4 linked regions of the Alligator mississippiensis genome follow. The protein of the gene in region 1 purifies or fractionates together with the protein of each later gene. This does not show direct contact. Links are inferred from orthologs where the notes say so. Each region holds a gene or a part of one and is shown in the gene's direction. Other genes may lie near its edges. The genes, in order: SKI, RMND5A, SIN3A and HDAC3.

What was found.
Region 2: the proteins of SKI (region 1) and RMND5A purify together in Homo sapiens (affinity purification with mass spectrometry; 3 studies listed by BioGRID and IntAct, counting the BioPlex papers as one, with this or other methods). This does not show direct contact. The link is inferred for Alligator mississippiensis from reciprocal best matches to the Homo sapiens genes SKI and RMND5A.
Region 3: the proteins of SKI (region 1) and SIN3A purify together in Homo sapiens (affinity purification with western blotting; 3 studies listed by BioGRID and IntAct, with this or other methods). This does not show direct contact. The link is inferred for Alligator mississippiensis from reciprocal best matches to the Homo sapiens genes SKI and SIN3A.
Region 4: the proteins of SKI (region 1) and HDAC3 purify together in Homo sapiens (affinity purification with western blotting; 4 studies listed by BioGRID and IntAct, with this or other methods). This does not show direct contact. The link is inferred for Alligator mississippiensis from reciprocal best matches to the Homo sapiens genes SKI and HDAC3.

Annotation. Positions count from the first base shown.
Region 1 is NC_081836.1:13,628,539-13,636,503, forward strand, and holds the start of SKI (ski oncogene), read left to right. Parts: upstream 1-4,961; 5' UTR 4,962-5,599; coding exon 5,600-6,511; intron 6,512-7,965. UniProt on the Homo sapiens protein: May play a role in terminal differentiation of skeletal muscle cells but not in the determination of cells to the myogenic lineage. Functions as a repressor of TGF-beta signaling.
Region 2 is NC_081825.1:14,510,997-14,518,443, reverse strand, and holds the start of RMND5A (E3 ubiquitin-protein transferase RMND5A), read left to right. Parts: upstream 1-4,438; 5' UTR 4,439-4,529; coding exon 4,530-4,671; intron 4,672-7,447.
Region 3 is NC_081834.1:27,956,110-27,963,004, reverse strand, and holds the start of SIN3A (paired amphipathic helix protein Sin3a), read left to right. Parts: upstream 1-3,893; 5' UTR 3,894-3,912; intron 3,913-5,493; coding exon of another isoform or gene 5,494-6,399; intron 6,400-6,895. Other genes in the region: basic proline-rich protein-like, read right to left, coding at 2,076-2,087, 5,494-6,399. UniProt on the Homo sapiens protein: Acts as a transcriptional repressor. Corepressor for REST. Interacts with MXI1 to repress MYC responsive genes and antagonize MYC oncogenic activities. Also interacts with MXD1-MAX heterodimers to repress transcription by tethering SIN3A to DNA.
Region 4 is NC_081832.1:40,854,692-40,862,676, forward strand, and holds the start of HDAC3 (histone deacetylase 3), read left to right. Parts: upstream 1-4,982; 5' UTR 4,983-5,043; coding exon 5,044-5,098; intron 5,099-5,104; exon of another isoform or gene 5,105-5,217; intron 5,218-5,404; coding exon 5,405-5,487; intron 5,488-7,985. UniProt on the Homo sapiens protein: Histone deacetylase that catalyzes the deacetylation of lysine residues on the N-terminal part of the core histones (H2A, H2B, H3 and H4), and some other non-histone substrates.

The DNA of each region.
Region 1 (7,965 bases):
CAATCCTCCAATTTGTCGAGGTTACTCTGAGTCCCAGCCTTACTCTCCAGCGTATCTACTAATCCCCCCAGCTTGGTGTCATCTGCAAACTTGCTGAGGGTACACTTTATGCCATCTTCCAGGTCACTGATGAACACATTGACCAAAACCAGCCCCAGGACCGACCCCTGGGGCACTCCACTTGATACCAGCTTGACATGGAGCCATTAATTACTACTGTCTGAGCCCAATGCTCCAGCCAGTTTTTTATTCACCTTACAGTCCATTCCTACAAGTATGTTGGGGGAGACCGTATCAAAAGCCTTGCTAAAATCAAGGTACACCACATCCACCCATCTCCCTGCATCCACAGAGCCTGTGTGTGTATGGTGGGGTGTGGGGGTGTGTATGTGTATAGTGGGGGGTGTGGGGGGGGTTGTGAGGGAGCGTGGCTGTGTGAGGAGGCAATAGGGTATGTTGGGGGAGTGTATGGGGGTGTTGGGGCAGGGTGTGGGTGCGTGGGGTTTGTGGGGTGTGAGGGAGGGTGGGGGTGTGCGGGGACCCCACACACTTCCCCCATGGTGCACAGCTCCACCCCCCCCAACGGCAGTACCAGCAGGTGGGGTAGCTTGGGTGCTTATGCCTGGTGCAGGCGCTGCTGCCAGCAGTGCCCAGCTCTGGCTCTGGCCAGCACTGCATGTGGGGGCGAGGAACGCAGCCTGGCCAAGCCGCCTCTATTGCGTGGGGCCAGAGCCGTCCTTAGGGGTATGTGGGGCCTGGGGGGGCAGGGTGGCAGAGCTGGCAGACTGGGGGGTGGCGAACAGCCAAAGTCTGCGGTGGCACTTGACAGTGACAGAGCATGGTGGCCACAGCAGGGCCTATGCAGCACTGATTGCGGGCCCCCCCAAAGCGAGGGGCCCCAATTTGCCCCCCCACCCCAAGATGGCCCTGTATGGGGCTCTGTACAGCACACCTGCAGCTCCCACAGCCACACCACCAGGGGAAACCCCATGTGATGGAGCCAGCTGCCTTCACCACTCCCTGCCATGCAAGTCCTGGGACACTGTGAGGAAGAAGGGGCCAGGGCTCTCCTCCACTTCAGCGGAGTCCTGGGACCTGTGTGCCAGGGAGCTGTGAAGGCAGCTGGCTCCATTGCATGGGGCTTCCCCTCATGCACAGGAGTGTGGGAGCTGCACATGTGCCTCGGGAAGCAACCCATGATAGAGGCAGGCTGGCCTGGCTGTGTTTCTTGCCACCACTTGCAGCACTGGCCGGAGCCATGTGACACCAGTAGCAGCACCTGTAATGGGCACTGCACCTCGAGTACCCCTGCCTGCTGCTTCTGCTGCTGTTGCCACTGGCTGGGGCTGTGTGCCATGGTGGGGAATGTGTGGGGGGTCCCCACACCACCCACTGCCTAGGTGATGCGTAGGGGGTCACGTGCCCCTCCTGAGATTGGCCGCCACCGGCTTCTGTGGACAGTCGCTGCTCGCCATCCGCCCCACCCTTGCTGCCAACAGCCGCTGGGACTTGTGGGTCGTCCCCACTCACCACCCTCCCTCCCCTGCAGCCAACACCACCACTGGCGTCTACGGGCAGTCCCCACTCGCCAACGACACCACTGCCAGCATCTGTAGGCAGTCCCCACTTGCCACCGCTGATATCACCGGCAGCGTCTGCAGGTGGTACCCACTCACTGCCATGGTGCCCCCCCAGTCTCAGGAGGCACCAGTTATTCATGCTCCACCATCCCTCACGACCACACCCTGCACACCCGAGCAGGGCTCTGCACTGCTGCCAGCCCCAGCTCCAGCTCCATGCTCCTGCCCAGCTGCAGCTCCCACCCCCCCTGCTGCTTCCCCACCTGGTGCCTGGAGCAAAAGGGATGCCAGGGAAGCTGAGCAGGTCCCTTGGTGGCTGTAGCAGCGGCAGCAGCAACGCCGCCCAAAAGGTGCATGCTGGTTGGGATGGGCCCTTCTACCTGTGAGGATGGGAGTGAGGTGCAATAGAGTATGTTGTGGGGGGTATATGTGGGCACCTCACTTCCACCTTCATGAGTGGAAGAGCTGGGTGGGTAAAATCGGTGTTCCCTCTCAGCTGTGTGGTGTGCACGGCCGTGCGGGCACGCTCATGCTGCACTGCCAGGCACACCTGTGTGACCGTGCTTGCCGCACAGCTTAGAGGAAATGCTGGGTACAACTAGTTGGTGGGCACCCGTGGGCCAGATGAAATTTCCTGGCAGGCCATATTTTGCCTGCCCTGGTCTACCTCCATCCTCTTGGGAACCCCCCGCCCCTTTCAGGAAGTTAAAGGCTACTATCAAATCCCCCCTCAGTCTTCTCTTCTGCAGACTAACTAAGCCAGTCCCTCAGTTTTTCCTCAGAAGTCATGTCCCCCAGCCCCTGAACCATTTTCATTGCCCTCCGCTGGACTCTCTCCAATTTGTCCACAGCCTTTCTATAGTGAGGGACCCAAAACTGGGCGCACTACTCCAGGTATGGCCTCACCAACGTCACCATGTGAATAAAATACCAAAGTTACGGTGTCCCCAGGTCTCAGACAAACCTTTTCTTTTTCTTGTTTCTTCTTTGTTCTTTCAGACTTAATTCATTTGGAAATTAGCTTGTCTCCCTCCTTTCCAGTCTCTCATACCCCCTGTTCTCTCTTGTTCTATACTCACATTATAAAACCTCTGGGACTGGATCTTTCTGTCCTGTATTTACACAGCCCCTGGCACAGAGGGGTCCTGGGCATGAGCAGGGCTCCTAGCTGCTACGGTAACACTAATATTTCATAATCTTTTCTGCAAAGCTTGTGGTCCAGCCTCCTCTTGCCTGTGCATTGGATTTAAGGGAACATGTTGATTTAGAAAGATGGTGAAAAAAATTGATGTTCTTGCTTTAGCTTTGAAACTTGCTTCTCCTGTTTGTATTTAGAGCTGGTAAAACAGTAAAAAAAAATAAAAAACTGATTAAAAAAAATGTCCAATAATTCTAATTTTAGGTAATTCACTGGGGGGGGGGGGGGAGAGGGAGGGAAAGAAGGGAACAAAATGGCTTTGCATTGATTTTTAATTTAAATATCTGAAAATCTAGTTTGGAGCAAAGGTGTGTGTGCAGGCACGTGCACGTGTGCATTTCCCCACCGATGCGTCTAACGGAGCCGGACAGACTTGGGTGAGGGGAGGATCCGGGGGAAACCTTGGTGTTGGGAGAAGCGGTCCCAGGCCCTCGGGAGGGGGCGCTCGTGTCCCCGCGCCGCCAGCAGCTCGCCTCACGCGGCCCCGCGCCGGCACCACAAGCGCGGGCGGCGCAGCCCCGGCGGGGCGCGCTCGGGCGGGGGGGCGGCCGCTGTCCCCGCCGGGCACGGCCCTGGGCCTCACCTGCCCCCTGGTTTCCCTAGAAGATGCACACGTGTGTGTGTGTGTGCGCGTGTTTGCGCTATGCAGAGCCGGGGGGGGGGGGTGTCTGTAGTTATAGCACACAACTCGCACACCACCTCTGTGTGTGTGTTTGCACTGCGTATATCCGGGGGGTGTGCGCGCGCGCGTGTGGTATAGCACCCAGCTCGCACACCACGTGTGTGTGTGTGTTTGCACTGTGTGTATTGGGGGGTGTGGTATTGCACCCAAATCACATGTGTGTGTGTTTGCGCTATGTGTATTGGGTGTTGGTGTGTGGTATAGCACCTAAATCACACGTGTGTGTTTGCGCTATGTGTATTTTGTGTGTGTGTGTGTGAGGTATAGCACCTAAATCACACGTGTGTGTGTGTGTGTGGGGTGTAGCACCCAAATCACACGTGTGTGTTTGCGCTGTGTGTATTTTGTGTGTGTGTGTGTGAGGTATAGCACCTAAATCACACGTGTGTGTGTGTGGTGTAGCACCCAAATCACACGTGTGTGTTTGCGCTGTGTGTATTTTGTGTGTGTGTGTGTGAGGTATAGCACCCAAATCACACGTGTGTGTGTGTTTGCGCTATGTGTATTGGCGGGGGGGTGGTATAGCTCCTAGCTCGCACAACGTGTGTGCTTGTGTGTGTGTGTGTGTGTGTGTGGGGGGTATAGCCCCCAGCTCGCACAACGCGCTCGTGTGTTTGCGCTATGTGTGTGTTGTGTGTGTGGTATAGCACCCAAATCACACGTGTGTGTGTGTTTGCGCTATGTGTATTGGCGGGGGGGGGGTGGTATAGCTCCCAGCTCGCACAACGTGTGTGCTTGTGTGTGTGTGTGTGTGTGTGTGTGGTATAGCCCCCAGCTCGCACAACGCGCGTGTGTGTTTGCGCTATGTGTGTGTTGTGTGTGTGGTATAGCACCCAAATCACACGTGTGTGTGTGTTTGCGCTATGTGTATTGGCGGGGGGGGGTGGTATAGCTCCCAGCTCGCACAACGTGTGTGCTTGTGTGTGTGTGTGTGTGTGTGGTATAGCCCCCAGCTCGCACAACGCGCGCGTGTGTTTGCGCTATGTGTGTGTTGTGTGTGTGGTATAGCACCCAAATCACACGTGTGTGTTTGCCCTATGTGTATTGTGTGTGTGTGGTATAGCACCCAAATCACACGTGTGTGTGTGTTTGCGCTATGTGTATTGGCGGGGGGGGGGTGGTATAGCCCCCAGCTCGCACAACGTGTGTGCTTGTGCTATGTGTATTGTGTGTGTGTGTGGTATAGCCCCCAGCTCGCACAACGCGCGTGTGTGCGCGGTGTGCGGTGCCCCGTGCCGTGCCCGGGCGGTGCGGAGCCGGCGGGCCCGTGTTTGTGCTCCGAGGAGGGGTGCGGGTGCGGGTGCGGGTGCGGCGGGCAGGCCCGGGGAAGCCCCCTGTCCCTGGTGGCGGGGCGGGGGCGGCGGTCGCGGCCGGGAGCCGGTCCCATTCTTGGCCGCGCTGCAATGAGCGAGGCAGACACCGACACGCAGCGGGCGCGGGCGCGGGCGCGGGCGGGGGCGGGGAGGAGGCGGCGGCGGAGGCGGCTGAGCCCGGCGCATTAGCTCAGCGCCGAGGCGCTCCAGTCCGTGGCGGGGAGCGGAGCGGGAGGACGTGCTCTGCTGCTGCAGCTCCCCGCGCGCACCACAGACGCGAGAGACCCGGAGCGCCTCCACGCCCAGCCCGGGGAGCCCGCCCGCGGCCCCGCTGCGTTTCCGAAGGGCAAGAAATTCGGCCTTTTCATTTTATCCGCACGCTTTCCCTCCTCCCTCCCTCCCCCCCTCCCCGTCTACGGACCGAGCTCGCTTCCTCCCGCTGCCCCCCCTCGCTGGCGGCGGACATGGACAGGAGGGAGCGCGCTGCAGAGCAGCCGCCGCCGGGGCGGATCTGAGGCGGGCGCGGGGCGGCGAGGCTGCATGAAGACCTCTGCCGGCCGCACTCTCCGCCGCGCCGGGGCAGCCCGGGAGCCGTGGGGGCTGTGAGCGGGCACGAGCCGAGAAAAGAGCAGCAGCACACGAGGACTTCCCCCTCGCGAGTGGATTGCCGGAGCAGGGCGGGGAAGGAGAGAAAGAAGCGGGGGTTGGGTTGTTTTGGGTTTTTTTCCCCTTTAATCCGTTCAGTGGATTGCTACCAGGGTGGAAGATCAGCGGGGCTTTTTTGTTGTTGTGTTGTTTTGTTTTGTTTTGGGAATAGAAACTAAAAATGGAGACTGTAAGTAGAAGCAGCTTCCAGCCTCATCCAGGACTGCAGAAAACCTTGGAACAGTTTCATCTGAGCTCTATGAGCTCCCTGGGTGGCCCTGCTGCTTTCTCCGCACGATGGGCCCAGGAGATGTACAAGAAGGACAATGGCAAGGACCCGGCGGAGCCCGTCCTGCATCTGCCCCCCATCCAGCCTCCCCCGGTGATGCCAGGCCCCTTCTTCATGCCCTCGGACAGGTCCACGGAGAGGTGCGAGACCATCCTGGAAGGGGAGACCATCTCCTGCTTCGTGGTGGGGGGAGAGAAGCGGCTTTGCTTGCCCCAGATCCTGAACTCGGTGCTCAGGGACTTTTCCCTGCAGCAGATCAACTCGGTGTGTGACGAGCTGCACATTTACTGCTCCAGGTGCACGGCTGACCAGCTGGAGATCCTCAAAGTCATGGGCATCCTGCCCTTCTCTGCCCCCTCCTGCGGGCTCATCACCAAAACCGACGCGGAGCGGCTGTGCAATGCCCTGCTCTACGGGGGCACCTACCCGCCGCACTGCAAGAAGGAGTTCTCCAGCACCATCGAGCTGGAGTACACGGACAAGAGCTTCAAGGTGTACCACGAGTGCTTCGGGAAGTGCAAGGGACTCCTGGTGCCGGAGCTTTACAGCAACCCCAGCGCAGCCTGCATCCAGTGCTTGGACTGCAGGCTCATGTACCCACCGCACAAATTTGTGGTCCACTCTCACAAGTCCCTGGAGAACAGGACTTGCCACTGGGGCTTTGACTCGGCCAACTGGAGGTCCTATATCCTCCTCAGCCAGGATTACACTGGGAAAGAGGAGAAAGTTAGACTGGGCCAGCTCTTGGATGAAATGAAAGAGAAATTTGACTACAACAACAAATACAAGAGAAAAGCACCCAGGGTAAGTAAGTGTGTCTGTGGGGGGGGGTTGTTTGGGGGTTTTTCTCCCCAGTTTTTTATTTGAAGACCGAGATGAGGGGGGCCAGGAGGAGCCAGACTGCGATTTCAGACTTGCACTGAGATAGAAAGGTCCAGGGCACCAGAGCTGCTGTTAAAGCCATGCAGCAGTCTGTCATGCTGGAAAATCACGCTGTGTGTTCAGGTGGGGGAGAAGCATTTAAAGAGAGCACTTTTTTTTTTTTTTTAGCTGCAAGCTGAAATCGGTTTTCTTGTTAGAGGCTTTAGGTTTAATTTAAAAACAGATTAATTTTTGTCTATGATTTAGGGGCCGATCCTGTGGTCCTTGCAAACTCTTACCCCCTCCTCCTGACTTTAACAGGGAATGGAAGTGGTGTAAGGACATTGGCATCAGAGGCTGAAAGTGGGGGGAGGTCAGGGCAAGGAAGATGGACATAAAGTAAGAGGAACAGACTTGTGGACAAATACATAAAACCCTCTTAACTGAATAGCTCTGGGAACAGGGGCTAAATTATCTCTGCATATATTTGGACTAAAAGTAGCTGCTTATAAGGTTGCATAGAAAAACCCTGATGATAAATGAGTATACTAGTAGTGCGTGGTATGTGAATGGATAAGACTCTGGCACAGTGGTGCCTGGCTCCTGCCACCAGACTGGCTTTTGTGTATTGGATTATGTAGACAGTCAGTGAATGGATGTCTCGAGTCAGCTGCAGCAGCAGCCTCCAAGGTATGCCATCCGGGTTGAGTCTGCCCATGCACACAGCTAGAGCACTTTTTTTTTTTTTCCGGTGGCTTTTTTCAGGCTGAGCAGCCTGTACATCTCAGCATCCCCAGTGCGTGGGTGGAAGGCTGCCTTGGCACCTGGCACCAGTCCTGATCAATGGGCAGCAATGTTACAAGGGCCCTGAGAACTAGCGCACAGACACCAGGACGTCTGGCTGGCGATGGTGTAATTGGCTGTGGGATGAGTAAGACGCCCTGTGCTCGCTCTCTTTTTTTTTTTAACAAACAGCCCCCCCTCGACTTGTCTTGGCTTTTGTTTTTAACTCCTTCTACCCAATACTCTGTCAAGTAAAATTGAAGGGATCTTTGAAAGCTTTCCTTGCTGGAGTTGGAGAGGCCAGGATGGACGGAGCTGGGAGCAAGCTCTCCATTCTCAAGAAGCAACAGCGATTTTGCTGGTCATGGATTTACTCTCTTTAACTTTCTAAAGGTTCATTTAAACACACACACTTTTTTTTTTCTTTAAAACTATCTAGGTTTTTTTAGATACCTGGATATTAGCTATAGTAAGCTGACCTAGGGAGGCCCAATTCCTTGATTTTATTGCCTCTAACTTATTTTTAAACCATGAATAGACTCACCCTCTTTCTAGTCCCAGTTTCCATAGTTGTCTCCCACTCATCCCCCCCCCCCGTTTTCCCACAGCTGGAG
Region 2 (7,447 bases), on another chromosome or scaffold:
CTTTGCTCTCCTTCAGATGCTCCAATGCTGCTTTTTTCTGCTGCTTGGTCTTTCCAAACAGAACTGTGAAGTGACACTTTTCTTTTTGGTGCCACCGCTGCTTACAAGCTTCTATGAACATTACCAAAGCTCTTATCCATTCCCAGTGTGCTCCTGTTTGAAACCCCCCCCCTGCCGCAGCAGTGGTACTACAGAAACATGGAGAAAACAGGGTTGAAAGGGACTTCATGAGGTCATCCAACCTCTGCTCAAAGCAGGATCATCTCCAACTAAACCATCCCAGTCACATACAGACTCATGAAGTTAACAAATGCACAATGGAAATGACCATGTAATATCTTCACGGGGATGTCAGGAAGCATAAATCACACCTTTGGAGGTTTTTAGAGCATTCAGTGACTATTGCAAGTGAGGGTCAAAGTGGTGAGGGGGCAGATAATCTCACTAATATTACATGTTAGTAGTTTTAATCTGTAACCTCAAAATAGGCAGAAGCCTGGATGGAGGAATCATAGCTTTTGGCCTCCTCGCTCACAGCTGCCTGCCCCAGTCCATGAGCATGAAAGTCCCATCACAATGTTAGAAGTCAAAAGCACCAGCCTGTTCCAAGAAAGAAGCTGCTAATGAATGATGATACAAAGGAATGTGGTGTTGATTATCCAAAATCAAGCCTGAGGTTTCTGGCTGGAGGCACTGCTGCTGCGTGGCATCCCAGTATCCTTCTCAGCGGCATGAACCCAAGTGGACTTTCTGCAGTTTCCCTCCTATAACCCCACCACCTAGGCAGAGGTTGGCAACCTTTTCAGACTATGAGCTGGTGTGACCCAGTTCCACTCAGACCCAGGGAAAGTACCCACAGCTAGCGCTTCTCTCTGTAGCAGCATGGAAAAGCAAGTGCTGCTGAAGCCCTCCAACCACCAAAGGCTGCCAAAGCCCCATGTCTACAAGCCAGATCAAATGGCTCTGTGGGCTGGACCTGGCCTGCAGCCATAGGTTGCTGACCTCTGACTTAGCTAGTTCCACATGCTTAGCCACAGGCCGATATGCCTCCTTATAATTGCATTTCTAGCTGCATGTATACAGCAGGGCTCCCCAAAGCTCTTACCTGCCTCCTTGCTTGCTTCACATATTGAAGCAAGTCCTTTGCTTTCTCTTCTTGAAGAGGTACCAACCTGGGTCCCCATTGCACAGCCCCTATCACCCCCTTCCAAAAAGACACCACATTACTGAGCACATCCAACTGATCAGAGGTAGCCACATCCCATCACTACTCTCTCCATTGCTTCCACAAGCTCTCACCTAACCCAATTGTTCCCATCTCTCCCTTCCTGAGAGATGGCATTGAAACTCTGGCTAGGATTCATCACCGGCTATGAATACCAAGCAAAACCATGGTAAGAAAAATCTTCCATGAAGAAAACAAGAGGAATGTTAATAACAGGAAATGATGTATTTGAAAACTTGGATTTTTACTATTCTACATTATCCCTAAAACAAAGCTGTTCAATGAATCCTAAATGCAAAGCTGGCATGACTGGCTATCTATTAACAATGAACCATAGCAGCAATTGTGACTTAAAAAAATGTCTGCTAGACCATACGTTACCTCTACATCTGCACCCTGAGCATCTTCTTCCAAGACATCTAAGAATTTCAAGGTGGAAATGGCTTTATGAATATCAAGTGTGTCAACGTAGTCAGAAGGAGAGTCATTATCCACACTTGCTTACCAGAAAGAAGCCCTCTATACTGAAAGATGAAAGTGATGTTCAGCAGGGGGGGCTAGCAGTCTATTCTTAAGTTTACTTTGAACTGCCTTCTTTTCTCCAACTGTGCTTTCTACCTCTACACTGGTCTGTGGAAGAGTCAAAACTGATATGACAATAATCTCAACTAAATAAGAGTGACTCTCTCAATTGCCGTTCTTATACTAGTGGACCATAGTCCAGATTCTTCTGTGGTTGTTTCTTGCCACTTCACTTGGTACAGATTGTTCCCACTATTTCTACACAATTAATTTTTTTTTCTCTGGTCATCATCTTTGTGGGTAAGATGAATATATGGCTGCCTATACATATGCTTTGGGTAGCAGGGGGTGCATTTTAATTAGAGCAGTTCCCAGACAGCTGTTCTAATTAAAGTGGCTTACCGTCACGTGTATTAAACCCCCGCATTTTTAAATGACCACAGGATGCTTTATCTAAAGCTCATTTGACAAGGTTTAGATAAAGCGCCCCTGTGGTTATTTTAAAATGTGCAGGGGCTTAATATACAGGATGGTAAAGCAGCGCTGGAGCATTGTCATTAGAATGCAAAGCAGCCTCGATTAATCAAGTCTGCTCCGATGCAGTCCAATTAGAACAAGCACCTGTATAGGCAGCCTATGGCTTTAAAGAGTTTTACTTGGAGACAGGAAATTATTTTGTTGAAGGACCTTAACATCAACTTGTAACTTTTGTTTAAACTGCAAAAGGTGGGGCAGGGGGAGTTTGGAAATCAGTGGAATAGTTTGGAATAACTTCATTTGATACAAGGGCTGAAGGGCTTGTCATAACATTTCAAACTCATAACTAAGGTGAGGGCTCGGTACAACATAGCAACAGATGCCTTTCACCATGGAAGGACAGTGTCATATCAATAAAAAAAACTGACATCGACTCCAGGTTATCTAGAGCAGTGGTTCCCAACCTTTTTAGACCGTGGATTGGAAGTGACTGCAGACTGGCAAACTGCGGACCAGTATACTGCAGTCCAGAAGTGACCGGCATACTGCAGACCAGCAGCCAATCCTTTTTTATACTCAGTATACCCTATAAGAAAGTGTTGGCTGCTGGTCACAGTATGGTGGTTACTTCTGGTCCGACAGCCAGCCCTCCTGTGGATCGGAGCCAACCTTTCGCAGCCACGGGCCAAGGGTTGGAAACCTCTGATCTCGAGTGGATTCAGATCTCTTGCTGATGCACCCAACTTCAGCCAGCACTGCCTTCGCATGTGGCTACTGTGGTCCTTAACCATTTCATAAAGAGAGTCTCTCTGCAGCTGGGATCATTTCAAAACGTGATCTCGGCTTATCCCATTGGTCCCATACTCGATCAACTCAGCTGCCTCAAACTCTAGTAACCTGTCTGCCACTTTGGCCTGAAGGATGCTTCTCCATAGTTTCGTAGATGTTAGTGCCTGGAAGGGACCTTACAGATCATCGGGTCTGGCCCCCGCTGCACATGGGCAGGAAAGACCGCTGCGGTGAGATGATCCCAGCAAGGTGGGCATCAAAATGCTTTTTAAAGATCACCAGGGTGAGTGGCTGTACCACTTCTGCGGGGAGCCTGTTCCAAACCCTTGGCCCTTGACTTGTAAAAAGTATGTATCTCTCTCGTCACATGGCTAAGATTTCCAAGCTGCACGACCCTCCCAGCGGTCAACATGTATCCGAACCGAAGATTCATAGGTTGTAAGGGGGCAAAAGAGACCTCGGAAGATCACCGGGTCCAGCCCCCTGCACCAAGCAGGAAAGACAACTGGGGGTCAGCTGACCCCAGCAAGGTGACCGTCCAGTCTCCTCCTGAAGATCTCCAGGGTAGGTGATCGCACCACGTCTGGAGGGAGCTCATTCCACAATCTGGACACCCTGACTGCAAAAACGTTTCTCCTAACGTTGAACACGTTAACACCACGTTCGGCAGCGCTGCCTCCGCAAAAGCACGGACCCACCGTTCAGCCCGGCCTGTCTCAGGCGCGTTGTCTGTCCCGAGTCCCACCGACAGCGTTGCCAACTCGCGTGATTTTTGGCATCGCTCTTAAAGTTTACACTTGAGGGTTGCGAAAAACATAGCTCTTTCTTTTATCTCTATATAGAAACATAAATACACCTAGATCTTGAGATATAGATCAATATGTAGAAAGAGATCTAGATCTAGAGATCTCCATCTAGAAATATATAGAGATATATAGTTAAGAAAGAGAGATAAAAGAAGGATGTTTTTCACATTCCCAAAGCACAGACTTTTAGAACAACACGAACCATCATGAGAGCTGGCAACACTGCACCAAGTCCTTGCTGCTCAACCCAAGCAGCTGTCCATCTTTCCTGCAAGGGGAGTTAAAAAGAGAGGCACAGCAAGCTTGGGAGCTGCGTCCTAGACAGGCAGGCAAGAAGAAGGGGAAAGAGAAGCTAGTGCTGGCCTGAACCGGGCGCGCAGCGAGGAGCAGAGACTGCTTGGACTCACACTAGCACCATGCTGGCCAAGGACCCCAGCCTAAGCTACCCGCCGCATTGCCTGAACAGCCCGCCATCAGGCCCCCAGGCTGCCCGCCGCGCTGCCTGCGCAACCCTGCGCGCGCATGCTCCATGGAGAGAGGCCGGTTTAGCCTCGGAACGAGCCAATCCGCCGCAGCTTCACCGCAGGACCCCGGCTGCCCGCGGCGCCGCCTGCGCTCTCCGCAGGACCCCGGCTGCCCGCGGCGCTGCCTGTGCGACATCGGGGAGGAAGTTCCGCCAGGCGTCCGGGCCGGCGGGGCCCGCGGCCGCCATGGACCAGTGCGTGACGGTGGAGCGGGAGCTGGAGAAGGTGCTGCAGAAGTTCGCGGGCTACGGGCAGCTGTGCGAGCGCAGCCTGGAGGAGCTCATCCAGTACGCGGGCGGGCTGCGCCGCGAGATCCTGCAGACCGAGAGTACGTGCCCGGGGTCGGGCCCTCGCACAGCGCCGGCCGCGGGGGTGGGCGCCTGGGTCTCTGCGCGGCGCGGCGGGGGGCTGGGGGTCTCTGCCAAGCACAGCGTTGGGGGTCGATGCGGTGTTTCGTATTGCAGGAGTCGGGGGAAAGTGCCGGGCAAGCTTCTGGCCCGGCGAGGCTGCGCTGGTCGAGACGGGAGACCCCGAGGGACGAAGGGAGCTAGAAGTGCGGTTGGGGGGCTTCCAGTCTCTGCACCACACACGGGTTATTCGTAGATAGATTATGAGGGGCTGGGAAGGACCTTGCAGATCATCGGGTCCAGCCGCCCCTGCTCGAGGCAGGAAGGCAGATGGGGTTAGGTGACCCCAGCGAGGTGACTGTTGGGGTTGGGGTCTCTGCGGAGCCCCCGGCAGCAGGCGGGGGGCTCTGCATGTCTCTGAAACATGGCAGCAGGTTTGGGGGCTTTAGGTCTCTGAAATGCACAGCGGCAGGGCTGGGGGCTCGGGGGCTCTCTGGGACAAGCAGCAGCAGGTTGGGAGCGTTGGGTCTCGGTGAGCACCCAGCCGCAGCCTGGTAGCTTGAGGTCTCTGAAACGCATAGAAGCAGGTTGGGGCCTTTGGGTGTCTCTGAAACAAACGGCAGCAGCTTGGTGGCTGTAGGTCTCTGAACTGCACAGCGGCAGGCTTGTGTTTTTGGGTGTCTCTGGAGCACCCAGCAGCCAGCCCCGTGGGGCCTTTGGGTCTCAAACAGCAGCAGGTTGGGAGGCTTTGGGGCTCTGAAATGCACAGCAATAGGCCTGGGGGCTTTGGGTCTCTGCTGCATGCTCAAATTAAAGCTGGATAGAAACCAGCTGTAGAGTTGCTACACATTTTCAAGCACTAGTTTCATAGCTGGTTGGCTCTTTATGTAGCTTGGTAGTCATTTTTATGGTGTAATAATTTGCACGTTTGACCACTCTAAATTTATTGCGTGATTCACTGGTTAATTGCGTAATACATGGGCTGTGTAGCAGGGGCCTCTGAAACAGCAGCAGGGTTGGTGTTTTTGGGGCTCTCTGAAATGAATGGCAGCAGGTTTCATTGCTTTTGTGTTTCCACGGCAGTTCGATTTTAAAATGTTTTGGCCGCAGGTTGTTTTTTTTCAGTGGATGGCAACCTCCACAGTGTGTTTCTGTGACTAAGATCTGGTACTGTCAGAGCATCTTCACAGCTGTTTGTAAACACGAGCCACTTAAATCTTGCAGCATCTTTGCAAAGTAGGTAGCTATCATCTAGGGAGGGAGGGATGGAGAAGGAGTGGTGAGATGAGAGTCCCAAGTGATTTGTTCAAGCCATGCAGGAAGCAGGTGATAAATAAAGAATTAGTAACTGGGATTTCCTGGTTCCTAGTCCCATGTTAAACAACAGCCTGTGGCATTTCTTTGTGCTTTTATGGCGTGGTTTGTAGTCCCAAGAGAGCTGTGTACTGCACAAGTGCAGGAGTTTGATTTTATTTACATATGTGATTATGGGATTGAAAATAGCATACATCCGTGCAGGTATTTGTTGTTGTCCAGTCCTGCCTGGACAGTGTTTTCATTCTGTGAAGAGGCTTTCTGGTGGCAGAAGGGTGAAGGTGTCATGCTGTGGCCCTAGAAGTAGAAACATGAGCTTTGCTCTGTACTCCTCACACCTGTCCTTTGGCTTGGGTTTCAAAGGCAGCTGGATGTGATACTAGTCACCTCCATCTTTTGTGGGCCCTTGACTACAGAGCTCTGTGCCTGAACTCTAGCAGCTAAAGGGGCCACTTGGATCTTCGGCTTCTTTGTAAACTTAAAGGGTTTTTGGAGCCACCATTGTCATCTGTCAAAATCTCTTCTGGCCCCACAGTTTTCAAGGGTTGGCGCTTCATATATTCCCAATGGCAGCCTTCACCAGTGTTATGAGATGCCAGAGAGTTTTTTTGAGAAAATGCTATTTTAATAGTCCCTCAGAGGGTTTTTACAGTTTTTTTAGGCAGGTATGAAATGAAGCTTAAATCCATTCATTTTGTTCATTATTTTATGGGGCCAAAGTTCAAATAAACTACTTTGCTATATGGAGTAGTTTGGTTAAATGACCAGCACTTGGTATTGGAAGGACAGTCAGTCAAATATGCCTCTTACAAACAAAGAGCTTGATTCTGAACTGAGATGAGAGCATTTTGCGTGTAGAGGCTCTGGATGAGTTAGTGTACAGCCGTAGAAGTGTGCTGGCAAGAACCCTTCGCAGAATCAATGCCTAATGCATGGACCATAATCAGGAAAGATGTTTTTATGTGTTCACTCCCTTCTGGGCACCCACTCTGCAGTGTTCATAGAATCATAGAAGTCGGGTCGGAAGGGACCTTGTAGATCTTCAAGTCTGACCCCCTGCCTGGGCAGGAGGAAAACTGGGCTCAAATGACTCCAGTCAGGTAGGCATCAAGCTGCTTCTTAGAGACCCCCAGGGTAGGAGCCAGCACCACTTCCCTAGGAAGTTGGTTCCAGATCCTAGCCGCCCTGACTGTGAAGTAGTTCCTATGGATGTCTAATCTAAACCTACTCTCCAACAACTTGTGGCCGTTATTCCTTGTTATCCCGGGGGGCGCTAGGGGAAACAAGGTCTCCCCCAAACCCTTCTGGTCCCCCCTAGTGAGTTTATATACAGTCATCAGGTCCCCCCTTAGCCTTCTCTTGTGAATGCTGAACAGGTTCAGGTCCCGTAGCCTCTCATTGTAGGGTCTGCCCTGCTGTCCCCGGATCATGTGGGTTACCCTC
Region 3 (6,895 bases), on another chromosome or scaffold:
AATGATCCTGGATTGAGCATAGGGTTGGACTAGATGACCTCTTGAAGTTGCCTTCCAGCCCTGCTTTTGTATGACTGTCACACATTCACTTAGGGCCTGTCCCTTAGTTGGATGATTTCTCCTCTCACTCTGGCAGCATGAAGGGGTCTGAAAGTGAGTGTAAACAGCCTCCTTGTTCCTGAAGTCTCCCCAGCTGGGGCAGAGCTGGTTTGTGTTATAAACTGGCTCAGCTCCCATTCCTATGCTGGGAACAGATCATGCAGGGAATCTCTGTTTGCTTGGACCCAGGGGAGGTGATAGGATGTATCAAGTTAGTTAAGCCACCGGGTTGGCTTGTGGCTCAGAAGCTGCCTGTGTGCTGAGGCTTGCACATCCTTCAGCCTTCAGTGTAAGTGCGTGTGCATGGAGCAGTAGACAAAGCAAAGCATCATCAGAACAGCTGGAGTTCCTCAGGGCACATATCTGTAATGCCCTGAGATTTGCAGCCTCCTGTGCTGCACTATACACTATCCAAACGTAGACATGTGTCCTGTATGCCTGCCCATCACCACTGTATCTGAACACCCTCTACGTAAATTCAATCAGCAGAAACAAACTAGTAAACTCCTTTGAGTCTCTATCGCCTGTTCAGTTTTGGAAGAAAGGCAACTGGTTGATTCATTTGCTTCAGGGTTCTTTGGCTGGGTCATACTTGATTTGATGTTGAAAAGCGTCACTCAGTTTAGTCTCCAAGATACCGCCCTGCCTTCTGTTTTACTATGGTGGGAAGCTGTTCTACTCAGTTCCCTCAGAGGGACACAGTACATTACTGAGCCCCATACCCCCCAAGATGGAGAGAAGAGCATGTAGGAAGGAAGGAAGGATAGATGGACTTCTAACTTGGGTTAGCTAGCAGACCACTCACTCCAGTAGCTGAATCTAGGCTGCTTCAGTGTATCTGGCTGGGAACCTGGCACAGCCCCTCAAAAACTAAGTCTGGTCAGCCCAGGGGGATGAAAAGTGCTAAGTTGTCCTGCTTAGCAAGGCCAAACTAATAGCTGGGGCTGAACAAATAATTAATTCATCATTGATAAGAGGATTGTCAAAGGTGAAAATGAGAACTGGGCACTTAATTCCCATTCATGTTATTGAAAATCTCCCCTTGGCTTGATTAATTTGCTGCTTTTTTTCTGTGACTGTAAAAGGGTAGCCTGCCCATTCAATGGCCTGAGACTGGTCAGCCCTGTTCAGTTAGCCTTGTCTACTGCACTTAGGATGCAGAAGTCCTAGTGGAAGGTCCCTGGCTGGGAAGAAAGCACAGAGACCTCTAGGGAATGTGTGGCCTGCAGACCAGGAACTACCTGCTGCCTTCCAGGAGACTTGGTCCAGGAGAAGCAGCAAGAGAAGCTGGTGCTGCTGGGCCTTGCCTGCAAAGAAGGGAGCTGCAGGTTGGTCTCAGAGGCCAAGATGACACTGAAAGGAGTCTCCTGTGGTGAAGACTGAGGAGGGCCATCTGTGCCTTTGAGGAACTCAGGAGACGGAGAAAAGATGTGTTCAAGAAGAGGTGAGTGAGGAGATGGCCTGAGGAAGCAAAAAGGCATGGGTGGAAAATTGGCTCTGGCAGTTTTATGCAGGGGTTGTGGTTTGGCACCTAGGAGTGGGAGTGAGGTGGAGTCACTACAGATCAGAAGAAAGACTGTAGGGTACTATCCCCAAGATGGGAGAGGGACTCTATAGAGACTCACTCTGGAGTCTGGGGTCATGAATGAATCACCTGTTGGGGCACAGCAATTGGTGATGAGGAAGGGACATTTGGAGCAAGCTCACCGCAGTGCTCCAGGTAACTGAGGGGCAGAGAGGAGCGCCCACAGTGCAGCATGCGACAGCAAACCACAGTTCTCACTGTTCTTCAAGTTCATAATGTGCTCACTGGTTATGATTGGCTGGGCGAGTCACATGGTAGCATCTCTGTTCTCTGATTGAATGGATGCATGAGGTTCAGTCAACACTTGTAAAGAGTCATTTTGAAACTTTTCTTTCTCCAAATAGTTGAGTATGTGATTGAGATTCAGTCTGTCCAGGCTGACAAGTGTACATCACACATGTTTCTGGAAAGCAAAAACAAAGGGTATGAGCATGGCTGACGACATTGGGACGTAACCTTTGCCCCCAATCTTGGAGTGAGGTTTACCCCTGCCAAATTAAAGCCACTGAATTTTGTCAGTATTTGACAACTCTAATTATTACTAATTAGCACTGATATCAGTCTTTTCATCAAAGTACTTTTGGTCTGCTAGTTCAGTCCTACTTGCGGCGTCCCTGTGAAACAGAGTTCAACCTGATAGGCAGGGAAACTGCAGCACGGATATTACTGCTGTGTTGCTTGTTTCAGACCCTGGGTTTAAGAAGACCCGGGGTTTGTGGCTCCTGAGTTCAGAGCTGTGCGCTGTGCTGAAATACTCCATCTTGTAACCTTGATTTTTAAACTGAGTAATATTCAAAACACTTTGTACTGAGCAGCAGAAGCAGGGAAAAGTGAAGGGAATAAAGGACTGGCCACAGAGATAGTGAGCAAATGGTCAAATTTACACCGTAAACTGGTGTACTAGGGACAGAGGCATGTCAGTTGGGGGCTTGTACCTAAGAAATGCTGAGCCACCACTGGAGGCAGCAAGTTCACTGGCTGACAAAGGTACTCAGCCTCTTCTTACAGGATCATGCCCTAAACCAGCTACAGATCCACCCCTACTGTAACAGTATCATGGACTAGACTATTAGAACATACTAGTGTAACCAACGGCATATTAGTTGTGACCCTGCACTGCCAGGCTTTGTGGATTTCCTTATCCTGGGCCTGAAGTAGGTGGACAGATACACTGTTGCTAACATTGGTGTAGAAAATCAAGGTGCCTTTCCTTTATGGTAGGCCAGGGGTCAGCAACCTATGGCCTGTGAGCTGGATCCAGCCCACAGACATGACACTTCAGAGACCTTTGGCAGCAGGAGGCTTGGACTGCAGGCCCATGGCATAGCGGGGACAAGGAGTGGTGGGAGACAGGTCCTAGTGTCGGCTCAGCTGCCTTTGACCCAGAGTGGGTTGTTCTGGCCCATGGGTGGAAGAAGTTGCTTGCCCCTGCAAAAGGTGCATTGCAGGGAGCCACCTGAAACCCCCCAAATGGACTTTAAGGTCTGCAGGACAGCCCTTGGCCAGTAAGCCAGCACATGGCTTTGACTGCACCCGTGGTGTGGATAAGGAAGGCTGAAGATATCATCTACCTGCATCCCACCATCCTTTAATATCCAGAGCACGTGAAATAAGTCTAGCTTTATTTCCTTCCCTCTCCACTGGAAATGCACAGCAGGCGGCCGACTCTGCATTCAAGCCCGAAGGGTCCCCAATACTGCCGGAGCATTTACACTCCACCTCAGATCCCCAACATCTGCTGGCGCCAAAGCCACAGCCCTGCTCTCCTCACCCACCCACGAGCGCAGCCCCAGGAGCCAGGACACCCCGGCTCTAGCTCCTCTCTGCCCCAGCTCTCAGGCCGCTCCCTGGAAGCCCCGTGCCTCAAGTTTCCCTGGCGGGAGATGGGGGAGAAACACTCCTACCTACCCGGCGTGTTGGAAAGTTTAATGGGGCGTGCTCCTCGAGCGCCCCGGAGCCGGCACCTCCGAGCAGGCGGCGCCCGGCTCCCCAGCCTGGGGAGAGGCAGCCGGAGCGGCCGCGGCTCCGCGCTCGCAAATGGCCGCTCGGCACCGAGCTCCGCCTGCACCAGGGCCGGGGCTGCGGGCGGCGGGCGCGGGGGGAGCCCGGCCCCGGCCGCAGTCGGCCCGCCCCGGCGGGCGGTGCTGCGCTGACGGGCTGGCGGCGGAGGCCAATCCCGGCGCGGGGGCGGTGCCGCCCATTCAGGACTCCCGGCCGCGGCGCTGAGGGTATGTAACAGCTGCTTCCCATTGAGGCTGGAAAATATCGGGCGTTTTCGGGGGAGGGGGCGGGCCGGGGCAGGGGGGGCCGCGGGCAGCGCCGTCCGTCCGGGGCCCGGGCCCGAGGGGGACCGCGCGCTCGGCTCAGCTAAGGACGGGAAGGGAGAGATTAAAAGCAGGAAAAGGGCTTTGCTTTCCCCTCCCGCGCGTGGGGCCGGGGGCGCCCGGAGGCGGGGGCTGTCCCGAGGGGTCGGGGCCGCCGGGCGGTGCGTGCGCGGGGCGTTCCCCCTTGCTTTTTGGCTCGGAATAAACAAAGCGGCGTCGCGCTTCGGGGCCGCGGGTCCAGGCGCTTGTTTGGCTGGTTTGTGCGCGGGGCTTCGCGGGCGCTGCCGGGGGCGGGGGTCTGAGCGCGGCCGCACACGCGGGGCGGCAGCGGAGCCCGGGCCGCGCGGGGCCCCCCGGGAAACTTGTTGGGCGCGAGTGGGTCTGCGGCCGGGCGGGGAGGCGCGGGCTGCAGCTGCCCCCACACCGGGGGGGAATCCCCGGGCCCGACCGCCGCGCGCCCCAGTTGCAGGCGCCCCCGGGCCGGGCAGCAGCCGCGCGGCGCTCTCCCAGCTGATCCGCTCGCAAACATGGAGCTGCCTCTCCCACCCCGCCTCCTCCGTGCTGGTGGGAGGGAGATGCCCGCCCCCGAGCGGAGCTCCCCCCCCCCTTCTCCCACAATCCCGCGCCCCTGCCCGCGCTCGCAGGGAGGCGGAGGCCGGGGCTGGGCTGCGTGTGGCGCCTGCCCGCGGGCACGGAGCCGTGCGAGCCGAGCTCGCCGCCGTAGCGGGTGCCTTCCCCGCCGGACTGCGGGCGGGGCGGGCCAGGCTATGCTGTGCAGGGCACGAGCGCAGCCGGGGCGGGGCAAGCGACAGATCCCGCCCCCCGCGTGCAGCGGCCGCAGCCCCCGAGCCCCGCGCGGGCTCCCGCCGCCGCGGACAAGCTGCACGGGCACCCCTGCCCCGCCGGCTTGGGCGGGATTCGCCCCGCTCCTACTGGCCGGAGGGTTTCGCCCCGCCCCCCCACTATTGGGTGGACTCCCAGCGTGGCCTGGCCCGGCCCATCACAAGGCCCGGCCGCCTCTCGGCTTGCGCTTCCCGGCCGAATGTGGCAAGGCTCCGTCCGGAAGGGGGAGGAGAGACGGGGCCTATCGTTGGCGCTGATTGGCTGGAGCGGAAGCGTCGGCCCGCCTCCCTGCGAAAGGGGTTGGGGTAAAGCTGGTGTCTTCCCCCCCGCGCGTGTAATGGATCCGTCCCACGTGGGCGCCGCTATCCCGGAAGTGAAGCTGCCCGGGAAGGGAGGGGCGGGTTCAGGGACAAAAGGCTGCGCCCGGCAGCTCCCCCGCGCCCTGCCCTGCTCCGGGGCTGTGCGTTCGCGCCCGTCGGGGGCCGGCGGCAGTGGCGCGGGCTAGGCGCAGAGACCCGAGCAGCTGTTGTTCCGGGCCCGGCCCGGCCCGGCCGTCCTCCGCGGGGGGCACCCCAGGGAGCCCCGGGCACTAAACTCCGCCTTTTCACGGCATCCCGCCAGGCCCGCGCCGCGGTCACGCACCGGCCCCTCCTGCGCGTCCCCACTGCCCTGCCTCTGGCCCGCCTCCGTCACGTGGCGGCGATTCCTCAGCGCGGCTCCGGCTGCTGGGCTCGGGACCAGCACGTGGATCCGGGGCTTCCCCTTCCCCGGCGCGGCCCGCTTGGCGCCTGCCCGCCAGCTGAGCCCGAAGAGGCGGGGCGGGGCGGGGCGGGGCGGGGCGGGGCCGAGCAGTAAATCGCCCCCGTCTTTTCCCCCCCCCCCCTTTTTTGGCCCGGGGAGAAGCGGCTGAGGCGGGACCGCGGCTTCCCCAGACCGACTGCGGGGAGCGGGCGCGCGGCGCCACGCCTCGCCCTGGGCGCTGGGTGCCGAGGGGAGGCGGGGCGCTCCCGTCCTGTGCAGCTGCTCGGGCGAGAAGCGACCTGCCGCCGCCGTAGTTGCACCGGCGGGGGTGGGCGAGGAGTGCAGCGAAGTCCTTGGCGCTGGAAACTTCAGCAACAGGCGGCGTCCGGGAGCGCGAGCGGGGAAGGCGGGAGCGCTCCCCGCGCTGTGCAGCGGGCTGGGAGCCGCAGCTCCCGGCGGAGGACCGGCCGCTGCTAAAAATAGCCCCCGTCGGCTCCGCGCGCGGCGGCTTGTTTTCCCTTTATTGGCCCGCGCCGGAGGCTGCGGGGGCGGGCTCGGGCACTCGTAACGCCCGCAAGGCCCGGCGCGTGCGACAGCGAGGGGGGCACCGGCCAGGCTCGGTCCCGGGCCCCGTCTTGCATCCGTGCGCGCCGGCGTCGCGGAGGGCTCCCGAGCCTCTGGACAGCAGCCGAGGGACAGCCCTCCGCGCAGACCCGGGCCCGGGGCGCCTTTACTTTGAGGTCCCGGCGGAGACACAGCGGGATCCGGCTTCCCTCCCACCTCCCGGAGGCGAGGGAAACCCGATGCCTATCCCTGTGCTCGTGAGCGCTGAGCAATGCCAGCCGCAGCTCGGCGGGAACCAGCGCCCCGCTAGGCCCTCCCCCTCCGCAGGGGAGGGCCGGGTGCGCTCCGTAGTCAGGGCGAGCGGCTGCGGCGGGGCCCTCTTGCTTGCTGCCCCCTCCCCGGGCAGCGCGTGGGAACCGCGGAGCAGGAGACGCAGCCCCGGACCCTGCAGGACTGGAGCCGAGCGGCCCGTCCGCGGGCGGGGACCGCGTGGTGCCGGAGGGCGCCCCGGGGTCGGGGCTGCAGCTTGATGCGCGCGGCGAGGCAGAAAGCGCACGTGCAGCGGGGGGACCGGGGGAGGGGAGGGGAGGGGAGGGGAGGGGGGGGACGACGAGGAGCCCGGCCCCGCCCCCTCCTCCTCCTCCTCCTCGCAGGGCAGCGCCGGGGCTGCGGCGCCGATGTAAACATTCCACAAAAGGGCTCCCCGGAGGGGGGGCGGGGCCTCCGCGCCACCGGGAGG
Region 4 (7,985 bases), on another chromosome or scaffold:
AGCTTCTCTCAAAGCTGGCAAGAAACCAATCATTTAAAAGTTAAGACATACATTCTCATGAGATTTTATATGTTTGTATTTTTTCACATTTTGGTTACATAATTATGCGATGGTAGCATTAAAACACAAGTGTAATGGGTATATAAAGGTGAGATATTTACAGTATATGAAGTTTAGCACATTTAATGTTTCAGGAATGATTAAAAAACCCATTGAGATGTATTGTGTAGGCCTACTGCTTTATTTTAATTGCAAGAATCACTAATGGTATTCTTAGACTTTTACTTGAGGCTAACAGTATGGCCTGTATTTTTCTTGTAGTGGTTTACTGTCATGTAAGTACAATGTAAAATGTATATTTAAAAAAATAGTCAAACAAGAGTCTACAAGACTCTTGGTAATCCTTCCATGTAGAGGTGACCTGAGCAGGGTGCAGGACCTAGGGCAAATCAGCCCATGCAGGGCCCTGCCCCTGCTCTGATCCTGGACCTGAAGAAGCCGCCGCTGCCATTGGTGGTGGTGGTTGCAACGGGGATCAGGGGGGAGCAAGTAGCTGGAGGCAGAGTCGCCGCTCCGCCCAGCTCCATGCCACTGCTGCTCTGCCTGGCTTTGTGGGGGCCCCCAAAGTGCAGGGCCCGGGGCAGTCGCCCTGAGATTCACCATCTCTCCATGGACAGCCCTGCTTGTGTGACATTTTGGATCTGAGCTCCAGGCAAGCAGCAGACTTCCTGGGACAACAGTCAGGCCAGCAGATGGATCCCTCTGTCCCCCGTAGAAGGAAGTTTCCAACCACCATCCATTACTTCCCCTTCATAGCAGTGCTCTCAATCTTCCCTGCCTTTAGGATTCCTGCCCTGGCCTCTTCCACCAATGGAATGTGCTCCCCCTTCTCTGTTGCTAGGACTCTATACCTGTTTTCCAGGCAAACCACTGCATGTGGGGATGGTGACTTCTTGCTGCCAGAAGATACAAGCTTCCAGCTTCCATCTTCCTGGGAGCTCATGGCCTCTTCCTTTTCTAGCACTACATCTGGCAGTCCATCCTCCAGTCCTAGAGGTTTCCTCCAGCATAGAACTGATGAAGTCCTCATGGCGGAGGCTGCTTCAGAGCTCCGTTACCTCGTCTTGTAGCTCTCTTGCCTTCTCCCTGAGGGACACCACTAGAAGGCACCACTTACAGTGCAAGCACTCCTCCACCTGGCTGACACTAGAAGGAACCTGTAAGCTGCAGTCTGTACCACACCAAACCCGGACCTGAGTGGAAGCCTCAACAGTGTATGGTCCTGCCTGGACAGACACCTTGCAGGTGGAAGCAGAGGAAGAGCTGGAAGTGGCAGTAGTTCTGGTATTACAACATCTTCCAGTCATGCTTCCTGGTCTTCTAATCTGCTGCCTCTCATTTTGTGCCTCTCTTTCCAACAAACCTTCCCCAGCAAACTCTGCTGTAGTTGGCCTGTTTGCTATTCCTTGATCTGAAGGGTTTCCTTTTCCCTGCAACCTCTTTCCTCTCAGCCAGCTTACAGTAAAGGAACGTGAGAGAGAGTTTCCAAACAAACTCCCCCTCACTCTGGACTCTAACTAAACAAGGGGCTTAAGTCTTGGTCTAGTCTCTTGCAGAGTTTTAACTGCTAAAATAAAACTATCTAGTTAGTCCGCATTATATATATGTATAAAAAAAGAATCTTACCTTTCAGGCTTCTCGTCTAAGAGAGGGATGGCAAACTACCTGAAGGGTGGTTCCAAAGAGGATAGAGCTAGACCAGGGCTGGGCAAAATATGACCCGCGGGCCGGATCTGGCCTGCCAAGCCATTCTATCCGACCTGTGGGGCCCCTCAAAAATTTAGAAAATTAACATTTATCTGCCCCTGGCTTGTGTCAAAGATGACATCTTGTCGCTGCTGTGGTAGTGTGTGACAAGGAGAAGGTGGTGGCGGCTAAGCCTGTCTCTTCCTTCTCCGCTGCAGCCACGCAAGCCCTGCCAAGCAGTATGGGGACTGCATCAATGCCCCGGGGCCAGGAGTGACAGGAGCACAGGCTTGCAGGAGTGCTGGCGGGGGCTCTGCCTGCCATGGGTCGGTGGGGGGGGGAGGGAGGAAACAGGCTGTGGGCAAACCCTTCCCCTCCACAAACCACAACCCTCCCCCACACTCTCCCAGGCCCCCACAAAACCCATGCCCATCCCACAGACCACACACCCACATCTATCCACACCCCAACTAATCACACACACAAACACACATACCCTATACTCACCCTCCGACCCACACCCCTCCCACAATATACAAGAGTAAGATTTCATTTTAAGCTTTTATACTATCATCTCGATGTACACTACATAAACGCCTGTAAATCAGGACGAAAATGTTTTTTGAAATGAAATTAATGAATGTTGTAGTACATATTTGAGATTTTTTAGAATATAATTTGGTATTTTTCTGGTTCAGAGATGGCAAAACACCTTGCTGAAAGGAGTTATTCCAGGGTCAAGGGGAGGGACTTCTGATGGCAAAGGTCAGGGAGTGGGACTTCTGGTCCCAAGATGGCAACCAGGGGATCAGGCACCTGTCAAGGGGCGGGCCTACCCATGTGGTCCTCAATGGCTTGCCAAAACTCCGTAAACGGCCCTTCGCCTGAAATAATTGCCTGCCACTGAGCTAGACTGTTCTCAGTGGTGGCAGATGACAGAACAAGGAGCAACAGTCTCAAGTTCCAGCAAGGGAAGTTTAGCTTAGATATTAGGAAAAACTCTCTCACTGGGAGGGTAATAAAGCACTGGAACAAACTACCCAGAGAGGTGGTGGAATCTCCAGCCTTAGACGTTTTTCAGACCTGGCTGAACAAAGCCCTGGCTGGGAACATCTCTTTGGGGATGGTCCGGCTTTGAGCACGGGGTTGGACATGACTTCCCTTCCAACTTTTTATGATTCCATGATGTTAAGAGACTGATCTTTATATTTCCTTATGATTCAGTTTCCCCCTTTGCTTTTTTCTGTTTACAGGTTTTTGGTGTGCTCTGTTTCACTTGAAACGTGTCTTATTTTCCTAAACCCTTTCCAGTTCAGATAAAAGGCAGATGGAAGGAGTCAGGCAGAAGTTTTGACGAATATTTGCCTCTGGTCATAAAGATCCTCTTAAACACTTCTTTAGGCATGGCATTTCCTCACTGTTGAGCACTGGAGGGAAGAGTAGCTTTACTGGGGATGTTAGCTTTTACCTCTGAGTCCAGTCCACCTTTGGGATTTGCCTGCACCAGGATTCTACTGTATGCATTGTCTGAATCTGTGACTTTGAGTTAGAGCTGTTTCTGGCTTACCCCCAATGCTTCTACTGAGCTTTTCTAGGAAGAAATGCTAAGCTCACCTTCATTTATGTATAGCTTTTTCTTTGGCACTCAAAAGCACAGAATCTGAGCAGCTCACATATGCCACTAAATATCTTCAGGGGTTCTCTCTACTAGGATGAGTTGGAATGACCCTTGGGTGTGTCTTTGCACAGTAGAGTCCTATTTCCACAGCGATTCAAAAGGCTGACAGCATTTAAAGCAGTGCAAGTTCCTAATGTAGCTGTTATTCCCCATGTCATTTATCTTACTTGCAATTATGCCCTTCAGCATGTAGCCAGGGAAACGCCCAGAGAACTTTTACCTTTTCTACACAGTATATTTACATTAGTAAGTACACCTCTATGAAGTATATGAAATGCTTGGCTTCACTGCCCACTTCACAAAAATCAAGATATTTTACCAATCCACACCAAGCCAATCAGCTGTTCCTTCGCATATTACAATTAGAGGACAGTCTTTGAAGAATGCGGAGTATCTCCCCTACCTGAATAGCCACCTTTCCCAAAAATACAGACAACATTTAACATCTCTGAAATCCCATCTTTGATGATCATGAAATCGACCCAAACCAAACTCTAGCAGGGTCTTTCCTATCCTGCTGTACGGGTGTGAAACCTGGATGCCATGTTGGAAGCATCTGGAAGCTTTGGAAGATAATTGCTGGTGATGTTTTCAGGAAATTCTCCATCTCAACTGGAAAGAAGAATGAATGCTAGCTTTCTGGATCAAGGAAGCTCTACCAGAATTGAAGTTGTGTTTGTATGACGCTAGCTTTATTGGTTAGAACGTTATAAGGGTGCCTGACAGCCAGCCCCCGAAACAGGTCCTATACTCCCAACTCACTGATGGTCACTGCTCTAGACTCAAATACTGAATCACCCCCATGTACAAGGTATGAAACTCACCTCACTACAGAGGTGGATAGAGGAGAGACACAAAGAGAGAGCTGTGACCTGATCTGCTCCTTCCTCCCAGAGCTACTTCTCATATCTGCAGACAACATGAGGATCTCAGACTGGGCTCCTCAGCCATCTCGGCTCTCTGAGGACTCCCCTATTCACCAAAAAACTATCCTTCTGGTAGTGGGGGGCTGCCAACATTGTTACCTTAGAAGAGCCAGTATCAAAAATCAAAGGTCCACCAGGGCCTAATGGTCCCTCAGACTAGCATGGTTAAGGCGTGCAATGGGGGCGTGTGACTACTTTGTCCAACCTCCGCCAACTCCCAAGCTTGAATGATGGAGCAGCCATCTCTTGCTGGGCTGGGTGGACTGCGTGGGGCGGGGGAGCTGCGGCTCAAGTCCAGAGCAAAACTCCAGCTGGTTTCTGGACACACAGCAGGCCGAGGGCCAGCCCCAAGCGCGCGCGCCCTTCGTGCAGTAATGCAGTAGTAGCGGCTGCCCTGGCACCAGGTCACAAGAGTAAAGGCTTCAAGAACACGCGGAGCAGACAAGACCGAGCTCCTTCTGCAGCAGAGCGTCTCCGCCAGCGCGGGGACACTCCTGGCGCGGCGGCCCGGCCCGGCCCGGCGCGGCACACCGGCACGAACAGCTCCAGCTCCGCGGACTAGCGACCGGCAGGGGCGCAGGTCTGCGCCGGCTTCCTCCAGGCGGGGGCGGGGCCGCAGCAGGGACCGCCCCGCCCCGCCCCGCGCGGGAAGGACGCGGTCTCGCGAGGGCCGCGGGGGGCGGGGCGCCGGCCATGGCGAAAACCGTGGCCTATTTCTACGACCCGGACGTGGGCAACTTCCACTACGGTAAGCGCGGCGGGGCGGGCAGGAGGCCCCGGGGCAACCCCTCTCCGCTGGCCGAGCCGCGTGCGTGGCCGCCTCCCCCGTCCCCTGTCAGCGCCGAGGCCCGGCCCGGCCCGTTGGCCGTAAGCGCCGAGGCGGCTCTGGGGGGGCGCGGGTGGCTTGGCCGAGGCAGGCAGGGCCGGGCTGCTCCTGGGAGGGGAGGGCTGCGCGGCCGGAGTCAGTCGGGTCAGCCCCGTGGTGCTGCGGCCCCTGCTCACTGGGAGCCCCGCGTGTGCCTGACTCACCCGCTCCTCCCTCCGTGTGTTGCAGGGGCGGGACATCCCATGAAGCCTCATCGCCTGGCGCTCACTCACAGCCTCGTGCTGCACTACGGGCTCTACAAGAAGATGATTGTAAGCATCACGGGCGGAGACCAGCAAGACTGGTCTGCTGGGGCTGGTGGTCCTTGCCTTGCGCAGTCTTGTCTAGGAGGTAGACGAAATAGTTACGTCTAAGTGTGCCTGTGAAGTGCAGTCCAGCCTGAGCCATTGTAGCTATCAGTCTAGAACAGGGGTGGGCAAAATACGGGCAAGTGACTGGATCTGGTCCATGGATGCCCCTGTGGCAAATCCCACCTGCTCCTGCTGGCCCAGGGCCAGATCTTGACCGGTGTGCACAGCTCCCAGTGGGGATGTTCCCAGTGCTGCTGCACTTCCCTCACCTCCGGTGGAGCTGCCAGCTGAAGCGTCCCTCTGCTCTTCCAGAGTGGCACAGCAGGGGCGGGAGCTGGAGGCAGGGCAAGCAGAGCAGCACCTGACGAGCTGGAAGCTGCATGCTGTGGGGCTGTTCTGCTCCCCGCATCTCCAGTTGCAGCTCCTGCCCCTGGCACAGCTGTGGACTGCACTGCCTGGGTGAGCTCTGCTGCATGTGCATTTTCCAAGACCTTTCCCGGGGTAGAAGTCAGGCTGATGGGCCTGTAGTTTGCTGGATCCACTTTCCTCCCTTTCTTGAAGATAGACACCACATTGGCCTTCTTTCAATCTTCGGGCACTTCATCAGAACACCAGGAGTTCTTGAAGATCTTTGCCAGGGACTGGGCTATGATGCTAGCCAGCTCCTTGAGTACCCTGGGGTGTAGATTGTCAGGGCCAGCTGACTTGAAGGTGTCCAGCCTCTCAAGGTGTTCCTTCACAAGGTCAGGATTGATGGAGGGCAAGGAATCTCCCTCACCCAGGTCATCCCTGACCACTATGGGACAGGGAGTCCCGTGGGATTGATGAAAGACTGACACAAAATACTCATTTAGTAAGCTGGCTTTTTCCTTGGTGTCGGTTTTCAGTTGTCCCATCTGTTTTAACAGGGGTCCAATGTTGCCCTTTCTTTTTCCTCTGGCTCCCCACTTATCTAAAAAAGGACTTTTTATTGCCCTTGATACTTGTAGCTGGTTGTAGTTCATTTGTAGCCTTGGCTTTCCTCATTCGCTCCCTGCAGGTCCGGACCAATGCGGAATATTCCTCTTTGGAGGTGGATCCCGTCCTCTATTCTTTGTAGGTCTTTCTCTTTAGCTGCAGGAGGTCTGCTAGTTCCCTGGAGAGCCAAGGGGGCTGCTGTGCCCTTTTGCTGCCTTTCCTCCGAGATGGAATAGCATTAGCTTGTGCATCAAGGATCGCTCCCTTGAGGAGCGACCAGTCTTCCTGAACTCCCCTCCCCTATGGGTCGTGGTCCCTTAGGGCTTCACTGGCAAGCCTCCTCAGCTTGTCACAGTCAGCTTTCTTGAAGTCAAGGACTTCTGTGTTGCTGTCTTGCCAGCTTTATGGCAGATGGTGAAGGTGATCAGCTCGTGGTCGCTGTCACCCAGCTTCCCTTTGATCGTTAGATTGCTCCCAGTTGCCAGTATCAGGTCGAGCAGTGCTTTACCTCTCCTTGGCTTGTAGACTTCTTGTGTCAGATAAATGTTGTGCGTGGATGACCTCTACCTTGATTCCTGCATCTAAGCATTTTGTGACCTGGTCATAAAAAGAAACAAGGTTAGTCAGGCAGGATCTACCTGCTATGAATACGTGCTGGTTGCCCTTTAGCATTGCTTTCCCTGCTGGACTCCCACAAATGTGATCCTTAATAATTTTTTCAAAGGTTTTCCTGAGGATAGAGGTGAGACTAATCTGTCTATAGTTACTTGGATCCTCCTTCCTCCCCTTCTTGAAAATAGGGACTGTGCTGGCCCTTTTCCAGTCCTCTGGGACCTGACTTGAGCACCAAGAGTGCTCAAATAGCTGTGCCAGTGGCTCTGCTATGACACTGGCCAATTCCTTCAGCTGCCATGAAAAATGGAGAACATATTTTCTCCATCATTACATTGGATGGGATGCATAGCCATGGCTTGGAGTTCCAGGTTTTGATTGGATGCCAGAGAAAAAAACATTTATAAACAGCTGAGATATTCTAAGCAGCATGCCATGTGGACCACGCCAGTGCAAGCCATGGGCTTTCCAGGCCTCATGCTTTACAGGGAATCCTGCCCCATAACCACTGTACCATGCATGCAGGTGTTCCCTATCCCTCTACCTCAGCTGTGGCCATGGGATCTCCCATTGCATTATGGCCTGCACTGTGCCACCATGGAGCAGGGGCAGGAAGCAGAAGACAGAGGAGGGAGGGAGGGAGAGCCTGGAAATCCTGATAGCAGCTGCTGCTGCAGTCAGAGTGATGGGAGTGGGGGAATGACAGCGAGGGAGCCCAGGGGCCACAGATCAACCCTTTGCAGGCCACCAGGTGGACAGCCCTGCCTTAGCAGTAGCAGTAGCCTGGAGGGTGCTTTAAAGAGTAAGAGCTGGAAGCCCAGGAAGCCTCCCCATGTAGACTGCTGGGAGATAAAGGAGAGGACAAAGTTTTTTTTTCTTTATCTGTCTGC